Linked DNA regions of Notamacropus eugenii. The protein of the gene in region 1 purifies or fractionates together with the protein of each later gene. This does not show direct contact. Links are inferred from orthologs where the notes say so. Each region holds a gene or a part of one and is shown in the gene's direction. Other genes may lie near its edges. The genes, in order: RBM8A, UPF3A and PYM1.

What was found.
Region 2: the proteins of RBM8A (region 1) and UPF3A purify together in Homo sapiens (co-immunoprecipitation; 4 studies listed by BioGRID and IntAct, with this or other methods). This does not show direct contact. The link is inferred for Notamacropus eugenii from reciprocal best matches to the Homo sapiens genes RBM8A and UPF3A.
Region 3: the proteins of RBM8A (region 1) and PYM1 purify together in Homo sapiens (co-immunoprecipitation; 11 studies listed by BioGRID and IntAct, counting the BioPlex papers as one, with this or other methods). This does not show direct contact. The link is inferred for Notamacropus eugenii from reciprocal best matches to the Homo sapiens genes RBM8A and PYM1.

Annotation. Positions count from the first base shown.
Region 1 is NC_092873.1:303,232,173-303,235,916, reverse strand, and holds the start of RBM8A (RNA-binding protein 8A), read left to right. Parts: upstream 1-1,353; 5' UTR 1,354-3,096; coding exon 3,097-3,163; intron 3,164-3,325; coding exon 3,326-3,385; intron 3,386-3,470; coding exon 3,471-3,548; intron 3,549-3,649; coding exon 3,650-3,744.
Region 2 is NC_092877.1:206,134,780-206,138,523, reverse strand, and holds the start of UPF3A (regulator of nonsense transcripts 3A), read left to right. Parts: upstream 1-1,150; 5' UTR 1,151-1,209; coding exon 1,210-1,536; intron 1,537-3,744. UniProt on the Homo sapiens protein: Involved in nonsense-mediated decay (NMD) of mRNAs containing premature stop codons by associating with the nuclear exon junction complex (EJC) and serving as link between the EJC core and NMD machinery.
Region 3 is NC_092874.1:231,139,218-231,142,961, reverse strand, and holds the start of PYM1 (partner of Y14 and mago), read left to right. Parts: upstream 1-1,398; 5' UTR 1,399-1,512; coding exon 1,513-1,522; intron 1,523-1,922; exon of another isoform or gene 1,923-2,011; intron 2,012-2,334; coding exon 2,335-2,481; intron 2,482-2,597; exon of another isoform or gene 2,598-2,677; coding exon of another isoform or gene 2,678-2,711; intron 2,712-3,744. UniProt on the Homo sapiens protein: Key regulator of the exon junction complex (EJC), a multiprotein complex that associates immediately upstream of the exon-exon junction on mRNAs and serves as a positional landmark for the intron exon structure of genes and directs post-transcriptional processes in the cytoplasm such as mRNA export, nonsense-mediated mRNA decay (NMD) or translation.

The DNA of each region.
Region 1 (3,744 bases):
GGAGAGAGGGGGAAAACATCTAAGATATATAGAAGTGATTATAGAACACTGAAAACAAAATAATTATTAAAAAAATCTTTCCCACCCATTGATGGGCCTGCCCATTGTAGGAAGCTTGATTAGGAGAGTTGTTTTGTAGGATGGCCCTAAGTACCTTTTGTTTTTTCTATTGAGGCACTGGGTTAAAGGGTTGTGATGCCCTCTGGCTCTAAAAAAGATATAAATACTCTGAGTTGAGGTTTTACTTTGGGGTTTAGTTTTTGTAATAAAGTTTGAGTGCCAGAGGAGGACTCTGGGAAACCACCAAGAGTCCCCTGGCTTTGAGAACCCAGGTGTCAAGTGCTTCCCTCTCTGGAAACTATGGTCAGACAGTTGGGGTCCAGTTGTCTATTGAATTCAGGCAGAGGAAGCTATGTCTGTTGATCTATTGATTTTTCTGTATTTTCTTTGAAATTCAGGGTGCTGACTCCCTGAACTAACTGAATGATAGATGTACTTGGTTAAAAGGAACGATACATGTGCTTGATTAAAGTGATTGTTACCCCTTGAAAGTTGCTTTCCTTTTATGAATGCAGATCTAAGAACCTGTGATAGAAGACCCCCCTGTATGTTGGGGTGCTTACTGATACAACACCCTAAAAACATTAGGAAACTAAAGAATAGTTTACCTGTCAGATCTATAGAGAAGGGAAGAATTTATGCATAAACAAAAAGAAAGCACTATAAAATGGAAATGGAAAATGGAAAATTTGATTATATTAAAAAGTTTACCCAAACCAAGGAAAGCAGGAAGCTGGGAAACAATTTTTACAGCAAGTGTCTCTGATAAAGATCTCATTTCTCAAAATAGAGAACTGAACCAAAGTTTTAAGAATGCAAGTTGCAACCCAATTGATAGTCAAAGGATATGAATAGCAGTTTTATGACCAAGAAATCAAAGCTATCTGTAGTCATGTGAAAAAAGTACCCTAAATCATTATTGATTAGAGAACTGCAAATTAAAACAACTGAGGTACCACTCACACTTAGCAGATTGGTTAATATGAAAGAAAAGGAAAATGATACATGTTGGAGGGGATGTAGAAAACCTGGGACACTAATATACTGTTGGTGGAGTTGTGAACTGATCCAAGCATTCTGGAGAGCAATTTGCAACTATGCCCAAAAGGTTATAAAACTACATACCTGTTGTCTCAGCAATACCATGACTAGGTCTCTATCCCACAGAAATTTTAAAAAGCAGGGTGGAGGAGAAGGAGCTATTTGTATAAAAATATTTATAGCAGCTCTTTTTTGTGGTGGCAAAGAATTGGAAACTGAGGGGATTCCCATCAATTTAGGAATGGCTAAATAAATTGTATTTGTAATGAAATACTGTTGTGATATAAGAAATGAAGAGCAGGCTGATTTCAGAAAAACCTAGAAAGATTGACATGAAATGAAAAGCGCAGTGAACAGAAACAGAACATTGTACACACTAACAACATTGGGGTTTAGGGGTACTCGGGGTCCCAAAATACTGACAAGCCGGGTCCTGACTGAATGCATTTGACAAGCATTCTTTCAGCCAAAGTTTATGAAAGATTTGCCATATTGGGTCGACTCTCAGGAAGCCCAACCATTTGTGTTGCTTGTATTGCCAAGTGGGTCAGGTAGAATCTAAGGTAGACAGAATCAGAACTGGACTGAAACTGAGCATGTAAGTGGAGAGGAGATTAAATTTATATACAGAAAGATGATGGGAGGGATCTGGGGGTGGTCTAGCAGTCTGGGAGGAGGCGTGAAAAGAGAATCTTGATGGGACCAGGGTAACTAATGATGTAATCAAGGGTGGGAAACGACTGGAGGCTTGGGACAACATAGGGCTGGGGTGGGAGGTAATCAAGGATGAGAACCAGCCAGAGGCAAGCTGGAAGCCTCGGACCTGGCAGGGCCTGGTTAGGTTATGGGTCACAGATTTGAGCGTGAAAAGCCAGAATAAGTGGGAAGATTCCAGGAAGTTCCCAGAGTCTGTACCCCAACAGCAGTATCCCAGAAAAGAGGCGGTATCAGATGCTAAAGCAGGGTCAACTTGGAGAACAGAAATCCGTAAGGATCTCACTAGGGATCACGGAAGGAGCCATTTCAGTCAGCTTCCTTTCCTTCCCTGCAAAATGAGGGTGCTGGGCACCTCCAAACAGAGGCAGCCTGCAGATTTGCCTTTCTCCATGTTGGAGGGAGGACACACACAACTACGACGGGGCCGGCCTGTGAAGGGGTTTTTGGACTGACCCAGCAAGGTGCTGACAAAGATGCTCAGGAGGAGTTAGGGAGCTGAGATCATGAGTTCAGAGAGGAAGGGGATGGAGTCCCGGGCTTGGGGGAGACTTCAGCCCTAGACTCCCTAAAAAGTAACTGGTTTAAGAACGAGTGCCTTACAGGAGGCGATTATCATCTCGTCTAGACCAGGGGAGGCTAAGGAAGTTCTCCAGCAACCAAGTGACTCCGACCCGGCTTCTGGCTATTTTTTTGGAGGGGGGAGGGGAGAAGCTGCCCTGAAGTTTCCAACCACGCAAACCGAGGCAGGCTGGCGCGGGCCGTCCAGCCGAGCACCGAAAGTGGGCTGCGAAATGAAGATGGCGCCCTCTCCCGCCCTTGCTTCGGAGGAGAAAAGAAAGGAAAGCGAGAGAGCAAAGAATCGCTGGGAAGACTCAAGAAGAACCACGGAAGGGAGCAAAGCTCGACGGTTAGACGCCCGAGGCCCCGCCTGGGTGGGGGCGGGGACCAGGGGAGAGTCGGGAATGAGCGTCCAAGCGAAGCGCAGGCGCAGCCCGGGCCTCTCCCCGCCCCCAATCACGTGACCTGCTCTTCTGGCCTCCTTCCCAGGAAGCCCTCTCTTCAAGTTTCCGCCTCTCCTACTCTTCAGACCCGGCGGCCACTGGACCTGCGCGAGCGGGCAGCCTCCCTGCCAAAGAAAAGCGAGAGCCTCGGAGTCGAGGGGTCTGATTGGCTAACCAGGCAGTCAACAACACCGCGTGGGGAGGTTCTTAAGCCCGCCATCGTCTCCCACCGTGCCTTGGTGCAGAACTGCTCCGAGGAACCGGAGAACCGTGCAAGATGGCAGACGTGCTGGATCTTCATGAGGCCGGAGGCGAAGACTTCGCCATGGACGAGGATGGGGATGGTGCGGAGCGGGTGGGCGGAGAGTTAGAGGGCCCGGGCCTCGGAATGGATAGACGGCGGGAGGAGGGTCTTCCGCCCCAGGCAGAGCCGCAGGGGTCGGGCCGGGCCGCGGGCACCACTCCCCTGGCGGGGCCCCCCTGACCCACCTCTCCTCTCTCTTCAGAGAGCATTCACAAACTGAAGGAGAAGGCCAAGAAACGCAAGGGTCGCGGCTTCGGCTCAGGTGAGGCTGGGACAGAGGAGGGTGAGGGGGGCCGCGGGGTGGGCCGCCCTTATTTACTGACCCCTGGTGGGCGTGGACCTTACAGAGGAAGGGTCCCGGGCCCGAATGCGGGAGGACTACGACAGCGTGGAGCAGGATGGTGACGAACCCGGACCGCAACGCTGTGAGTGCCGGGAGTCCGGGAGGGGACGCAGTGGGAGGAGCCCCGGCATGTGGAATCCTTCCCCCTGACCATCGCGCCCCGCCTGTGCTCTGACTCCCCAGCTGTTGAGGGGTGGATCCTTTTCGTGACTGGGGTCCACGAAGAAGCCACCGAGGAGGACATACATGATAAATTTTCCGAGTATGGAGAAATAAAA
Region 2 (3,744 bases), on another chromosome or scaffold:
ACGTGAACTTGCCGTCGTGGGGACGGCCAGCGTGTGCTGCTCCCCGGGAGTCCCTCGTTACTTCCCACCTCGGACACGAGAGCCAAGGTCCGGCATCGCTTAGCGCCCCGCGGGGGACGGTCGCCTCCAAACGACCCACCCCAAGCCCGGAGCCGAGTGGGGACCACTCCAGCGGCCGCACGTTTGGAGAAGCCCTCCTCTTTAATTTGGGGCCAGGCGAACCCAGGTGCCGTGAGACTCGGCGGGGCGGTTCCGATTCTGTTCTGCAAGAAGGCTCGGAGCGCTTCCGCGGCCCCGGACCCTCCTTCGTCCGCGCGCCTCTTGTCCGGAGGGAGGTGCTGGCAGTGCAGAGATATCACTGCCGCAGACGCTGGAAAGCGTACTTGTAAAGATGACCAAAGCATTTATTAGCAGCCGCCTGTGTACAGGAAAAATAAACCGGTGGCCTTGATGTTTCTGGACGGCGCCCCCATGGTGGGCAGCGCCTGAGCGCCCCCTGGGGGGCTGCTGATGGCCATGGCCGTGGCTTTCCGGTCAGATGGGGGGGCTCGGGAGGGGGGGGCGGGATGCAGGCCTGAGGACCTTCCAGGGAGAACATGGGCTCGTTCTTAATACCCGGATCGCACACACCGAGGTTCCCATTCTGACAAGCCCGAGGCTTCTCTGCATTTTGATCTTTAGCCCCGCTCTCCCGGGGGCCTTGCCATTCCCTCCCCTACAGCCCCGAGCCAAGCCCAAGGACCCCGCACTCGGTGCGGGCGCAGCCCGAGCTCTGCGGGGGTCGCCTGGCCGGCCGCCCACGGCTCGGGAGACAGCAATGCGGATAGAGCGGGAACGTGCCTCCGGGTCCTGCGCGCAGGCGCACCAGCCCGCCCGGCCCCGCCCCGCCCGGCCGCACCCCAGCCCTTTTCATCTCCATGGACAGCGGCACCTCCGTGGTCTCGCGGTCCGCATCCCCTGAAACCGTCTGACCCCAGGCCTCTCTTTTCCGACGCGCTCCTCCTTCCCCCAACTGCCCTGACTCGTCCGTGTCCGCTCCTTCCCTCCATTACAAGGAAGGGGTGGACGGTCACCAAGAAGCACGGCTGGCGGGCGGGGCCGGAGGGGGGGGGGGGGGGTAGCGCGCGAGCGTAGGCGGAGATCTCGCGAGTCTTCCTGACACTCCCCGAACGGGCGGGAGAAAGAGCCTGAGGCTGCGGCGGGTGCGTGATGCGGTCCGAGAAGGAGGCAGCCAGCGGGGCCGGGGGCTCTGGCGTCGGCGGCGCCGGGCGGGGATCGGGCGGCAAGGAGAAGCCGCCATTGCCGCCGCCGCCGCCGCCGCCACCGCCACCCCTGCCACCGCCCCCGGCATCTTCCCGCGGAGGGACAGCGATGGAGATCCAGTTCCGCCGCGAGTCGCCTCGGCGCGAAGCGGAGACGCCTCCGACCGCCGTGTCGGCCTCGGGCTGCGGGGGTGGCGGAAGCAGCGGCGGAGGCGGCGGTGGCGGAGGAGGCGGCAGCAAGCCGCGGGAGGAGAAGAAAACGGTCCTGAGCAAGGTGGGGGGGCGCCTGGGGGGGAGGGGCGGCCGGGGCTCGCGGCCCGGGGTCGGCGGGGGAGGGTCTCGCGGCGGGAGGAAGGGACTGCGCGGAGGCGGCCGCCCCGGGAGGAAGGAGGAGGGAAGGAGGGACAGCGGACGAGCTTTCAGGACCGGGGAGAGCGCCCCGAGCCCGGGGCGCCGGCGGCCGTGGAGGAGGGGCGGAGGCGCAGCCCGGCGGGGCCGCCGTGGGAGGCGGCCGCGCGGGGGGCCGACCACCGGAGCCCCGGGCGGTCCTTTCCTCGTCTCCTCCCGAGCGTGACTTTGTTCCCTCCCTTAGGGCGAGGTGGAAGTCACCTCAGACATTTGGACTTGTAATTGTGTTTAAAATGAAAGTCGAACGTCGTTCCCCGGCGCCCCGCACGGTGGATATCAGTGGGCGGCGTGGCCGCTCCTCCCCACCCGCGCCCAGCCCGCAGCTTCACGAATGCGCGGGGCTCCGGGGACCGACAGACAAAGGGGAGAGACGCTCCGCCGGCCCCTAGGGGGCGGGCTGGCCCGGTCCGCCTGACGTCACCCTCCCCACGCCTCCTGCGGGAGAGTGGAGGCTGCCTGGGGGCAGCCCGGGGGCAGGGTCGGACTCGGAGAAGGCTGGCGGAGAGTTCGTGCTCCGCAAAGCGGTAAGTTCTGATCGACCCAAGAAGAGCTGCGAATGGCGGCATGACCTGAGAATGCGGCTTTAAAGTGACCGTGGAGAAGAAAACCGTCCCCGAAGAATGGTCCACTCATGCACCTGAGGATATTTTTAAGAGATGAATGTGCTACAGAGAACCAGAATAGTTACTTACAATGCAGGCTGGCTAGTTAAAAAAAAGAAGCCCAGTATTTCAGAGTTCCGAGGACCCAGGCTGGAAAGGGTTACGGGGAGGCGGCAGTCCAGTCCAGCCTGTACCGAAACAGGAGCCTCTTCCCCGACCTCCCGTAGAAGTCCTTCGCCAGGAGGAGCCTGAAGATCTCCACTGCCTCCCTAGGCAGTCCATCCTGGTTTTGAATGGTTAGGAAGCATCTGTTTCTCTCCGTCTTGGGTTGTTTCTAGTTCTGCCCTCTGGGCTCAAACGGAACAAGTCTAATCCCTCTTCCACAGAGTGACCCTTCAAACACTTGAACACCAGGTCTCATACATCTCCTAAGTAACCTCTTCTCCAGGCCAGGTGGCTCTGCTTCCTTCCACTGAACCTCCTATCTCATTCTTTCTCATCTCTTCTCCATCTTGATCACCACGCTGACCACTGTGTTCCATATTTACTCTTAACCAGGGCAGGCTACAGCGGAATGGCCTGCTTCCTGTTTGATCTCTTTTTGTCTTCATGCAGCCCAGAATCACACTGACTAGTCTGTGTATGTTCATCTTATTCCAAGGCTGTATGTGCCTAAATCTAGTTACCAACAAATACACTTTTAATTAGACTATCTTCTCTTACTCTGATCACCTAGTATTTTCCAATTTCATAATGTAATACAAATAAATGCATGTAGAGTGCAGAGAATGACAATTTTTTGTTGAAATAAGAAACAAAAAGTATTTTGGGGAAAGAAACACCTTGCAAAATAATCCTGAATTGATTCAAAGATTAGAAGCATCAAAGGAGCTTGGGCAGGTTACCTAACTCTCTGGGCCAAAGTTTCTTTGTCATTAAAGTAAAATTAGATGACCTTAGAGGTCACATATAATTCTAAGTCTATGGTACTGTGATCCTGTAAAGGTCTTGTTGGGTTGAATGGAAAGTGGATAACATTTTATATCTTCTTTCCAAACAAATGGAAAACCTAAATGACTAAGAGGACTGTTGAGAATTCAGTACTTCATATTTTTTGATTCAGTGATTTTTGTGTAAATGTTGGTAGTTATGTCCAGTCTGTAGCTATTATGCATAAAAAAGATACCTGTGTCTATTACAGAGGCAGTGTGGAATGTCGGATAGGGCCCTGAGCCTGAAGTCTGAAAGATTGTATTTCAAATCCTACCTCTGGTACCTGGGGGTTAGGTGCCCTTGGGCAAGTCTTTTAAACTCTTCTATTTCATAGTCTTAGGCACAGATCCTTCAGGTATTTATGTACTCTGTCCTGGCACAGAGCCTTCTTTAACAGTCTATCTCTTCTGTAGTAATGAAAAGGTTATAGATAGAATTCATTACTTAAGGAGACGTCTGAACCTCACTGAACAGCAGTG
Region 3 (3,744 bases), on another chromosome or scaffold:
AAAGAATATTCATGAGGTTGCTGGTGTTGTATTGTGGGAAAAGCAGATTTTGAGTCAGAAGGCTGGGGTTTGAGACTAGCTATTTGACCATGGGCAAAGCATTTAAGCTCTAGGTGGAGCAGTAGAGAGAGTGCTGGGCCTGGAGTCAGGAATACCTGTGTCCAAGTTCAGCCTCAAATGAGGATGACAATTATAGTGCCTACCTCCAGGTTTTTGTGAGGATCAAATGAGATATTTGTAAAGGGCTTGGCATAGTGCCTGGCACATAGTAAACAGTTTATAAATGTTAGTTATTACTATTATTATTAGCTATGTGACCCTGGGCATATCACTTGCCTCAGTTTCCTCAACTGTAATTTGGGGATATTAACAGTACCTGCCTCATGAGGTAATATTTATAAAGCAGTTGACACATAGTAGGATCTACATAAATTTATATTCTTCTCCCTTCCCTTCCTTTCTCTAAAAGCCTCAAGAATCCCTCTGTAAAATGCCAATAACACTATGTGCTCTACTTATTTTACAGGGTTGTGGAAGTGACAGTGTTTTGAAAGCTTTAAGCAGCATAGAAACACGTCATTCCTGACCTCACTCTACGCATATCCCATTCGGACAGCTCCCTTTCTAGGAGCCTCAGAATGGAAATTACAGGGGATTTCAGTGTGGCGAAGTAGGGTGAGTGGCTCTCATTCCCTCAGTGGAATTTAACGCTTTCTGACACCCTCAATGAATTACCTTAGCGCATGCCCCCCTTCTTCAGTCTTTCTCCCTCATCCCACCTAGCCTCCACGGCCCAAGGGCAATGTGTGAGAAATGGGTATAATCAGTAGGCTCACTGCACCACGTCCCAGGTGCACATTTCCTCTTATCGGCCACATCACAAAATGGAGCGAGAAAAAGAAACCACAGCGAACAAAGGGAGGAAAAAACAACAGCTTCATTTCTACCCCCACCCCCACTTCTCCCTTCCTCCTCTGGTGGGGGCGAGAGCCACACCCCAGCCTAGGCTAGGGTCGGCAAGTCGCCCAACGGGCTAAGACAAGTGAGTTTCACTTCCTGCCAGCCCCAAAGTTAGGGCAGGATGTCTGGGGGTGGAAAGAGGTACAAGAGGAGGGGCCCTTGGCACCAGGTTATGCAGGCCCCGAGGGGAGCTGCTGTAGGTCTCCAGTTTCCCTTTTGCAAAGAAACTGAACTGAAAGGGTGATCCTAGCCTGAGGAGACCATGCCAAAGAGTCACTGAGTTCTACCAGTTTTTCCAGGTTCCCCCGCAGCTTCAAGCACAAAGGCTACTACGGATGTGGGTGTGTGGAAGGGGAGGACAGAGTGAAAACATTAGGAGGGAGAGGATTGGGGGAAGGAACGTACACATGTTAATAGCTGCAAATCAAATGCAAAACAGTATTCCCGCTTACTCGGCAGTCATCTTAGCTGGGCAGCCGCAGCTGGGTGGAAGAAGAGCGCTGCAGATTTGTTAGGTGGGGACCTTCCATAGCCGGATTTTTGAGCCGCGGAATGTTCATAGGTGGCATATTTTACTATTACTCAGTTTGAAAAAAAGGACTCCCAAGCGATTTAGTTCTATCCTGACTGCCTTCCGTCTCCCTCTCCCCCGCGCAGGGAGGACTCGGGCACTAGCCTTAGTCAAAGCAGAAGGACGGGGCAGAAACAATTTCCGTGGTAAAGGGCTACAGAAATGTCAGCAATCTGCAGGCAGTGGGGGGTGGGCTGGGGCGGGGGAAAAGGAAAGGAGAAAAGCGAAAACCTGGTGAGAGAAAGCGGCAGCCCAGGGCCTCCCCAGCCTCAGCGGGGGCAAGTTGAAACGGAATTTAGCTAGGGGAACGAGGTCGAGGGCGGGAAGATTTGCAGTTAGTAAAAGGGGAGGGGAGAAGGCCAGAAATGGGGAGTGCTGGAAGGGCTGCAGGGTCAAGCCCAACCCCTCCGATCACGCCCCTCCCTTCTTCCCCCGATCGCTTTCTTCTCGCGCCCTGGGGGTAGAGCCGTAGACCGAGAGGTGGGAGTCTTTAGCAGAGGAAGAAACTGAGGCGGGGAGGGGAGGGATGGGGGCGGGGAGGAGAGGCTTAGGCCGGAAGGGAGCGTAGAGGAGGTCAGCGAGCCCAGCCCCTCCGGTGAGACTAGTCCAAGGTCACCGGGGAAAAGAGAAGAGGGGTCAGGATTTAAACCGAGACCTCCGGCCTCAGTCGAGCCGGGGAGTCTCGTGCAGGCGCCCGGCGCGGGGATCCCGGAGCCGGAGGCCAGCCGCGAGGCTCTCGGCGGCCCGGCCCCCTCCTCCGCAAGAGAAACGGCCTCAGGCCTCCCGTTTCATTCATTCCACAGACGCAGATCGAGCGCCGATTCTCTGCGGGGCGCGCACGCCGGCGGCCTGGGCCTGCAGCGTCTCCCTTTCTCCATTTCGTCTCTGCGGCGCCACCCGGCCAGGGATGTCGTCCAGCCGCCAGCCAGTTCCCGAGGACGAGCTGAAAGGTACCGTCCCCTCTTAATAACCCCCTCCGTTTCCTCGGCCCTCACTTAGCCCCGGGCATGAAGTCCAAGGGCGCTCTGTCTCTTTAAGATGAAAATGGCAGCTCGCGACCAGGCCTAGACTCCACTTCCGGTGGAGAAGGGGGCGGGTCCTGGGGGGAGGGTGTCACTCACGCCGGAAGTGGTTCTCGTTTCCAAGATGGCGACTCCCTATGTAACTGACGAGACCGGCGGTGAGTGCGGGCGGTGCAGAGTCTCTTCTCCCCGGGCCTCTGAGGGTGGGGGTAGAGGTGGAGGGCGGACTTGGAAGGGACCTGCGCCCCGCCCATCCCGGGGCCCCTCCCCTGTTCCCGCCCCCCCGGACCGCCTACCCCATTCATTCGCTCCTTTGGGGCTGCACCTGCGCCCCCTTCCGGTCCTGTGGCGCCGGGGTCCCTCTGCTTCCGGTCACCTAAACTCTAGGCTAGGGTCTCTGCTGGCCAGGGCTAGTCCCCGGGCCTCCCTTGAGCCCCGGAAGTCTCCACTTGACCGCCGGACCCCCTTTGGTCCGCCAGCCATCGGAGCTCTGTCCATGTCCCTTCCAATTCCTGCCTCCCCCCTTTAGCTTCACCCACCTTAGGTGTGAAGGATTGGGAAGGACCTCCAACTTGTGGCCTTTGCTCTCATTTCCCGACCATGAGCTTTCTCTTTGGAGACCTAATCGCCAACGTGGGCTGCTTTCACATCTCTGCCTTCCCCGGGAAACTGTCAGCCTGGGCAGGGAAGGGATCGGTCAAGTCAAGTCAATAAGCACTTCCTAAGTTCCCACTGTGTGCCAGGCACTGTGCTAAGACCAGAACACAAGTGTCTCTGCACTCAGCCTGGTAATCAGACTACTAACGTCACCCTTCCCCGGCTGTCTGTCTCACTAAACTGTAGAAAAGAATTGTATGAAGGCTTGCTGGGGGCTAGGCAGCAGCCTTGGGCTGGGATGAGGTCCTGGGAGAAGACAGAGATGGAGAAAAGTGAGGTCTCATCCTTAGATGTTACTGGTACTGGTAACCCATTCTGCCCAAGGACCAGAGGGAGGAAACTTCTAGCCTGTTTATCAAAAGAAATATACAGAAAATATGTATAGAGTACATGTGGTGTATATGTGTACCCATGTGGAGCAGACATTGCATAACTCATAAAATCATTCATACTGGATACACTATCAAGTCATGTTATGTAACCTTAACTGAGCTCATTGTTGTCATCTCCCTAAAGTAGCTATTCCAAACTTTC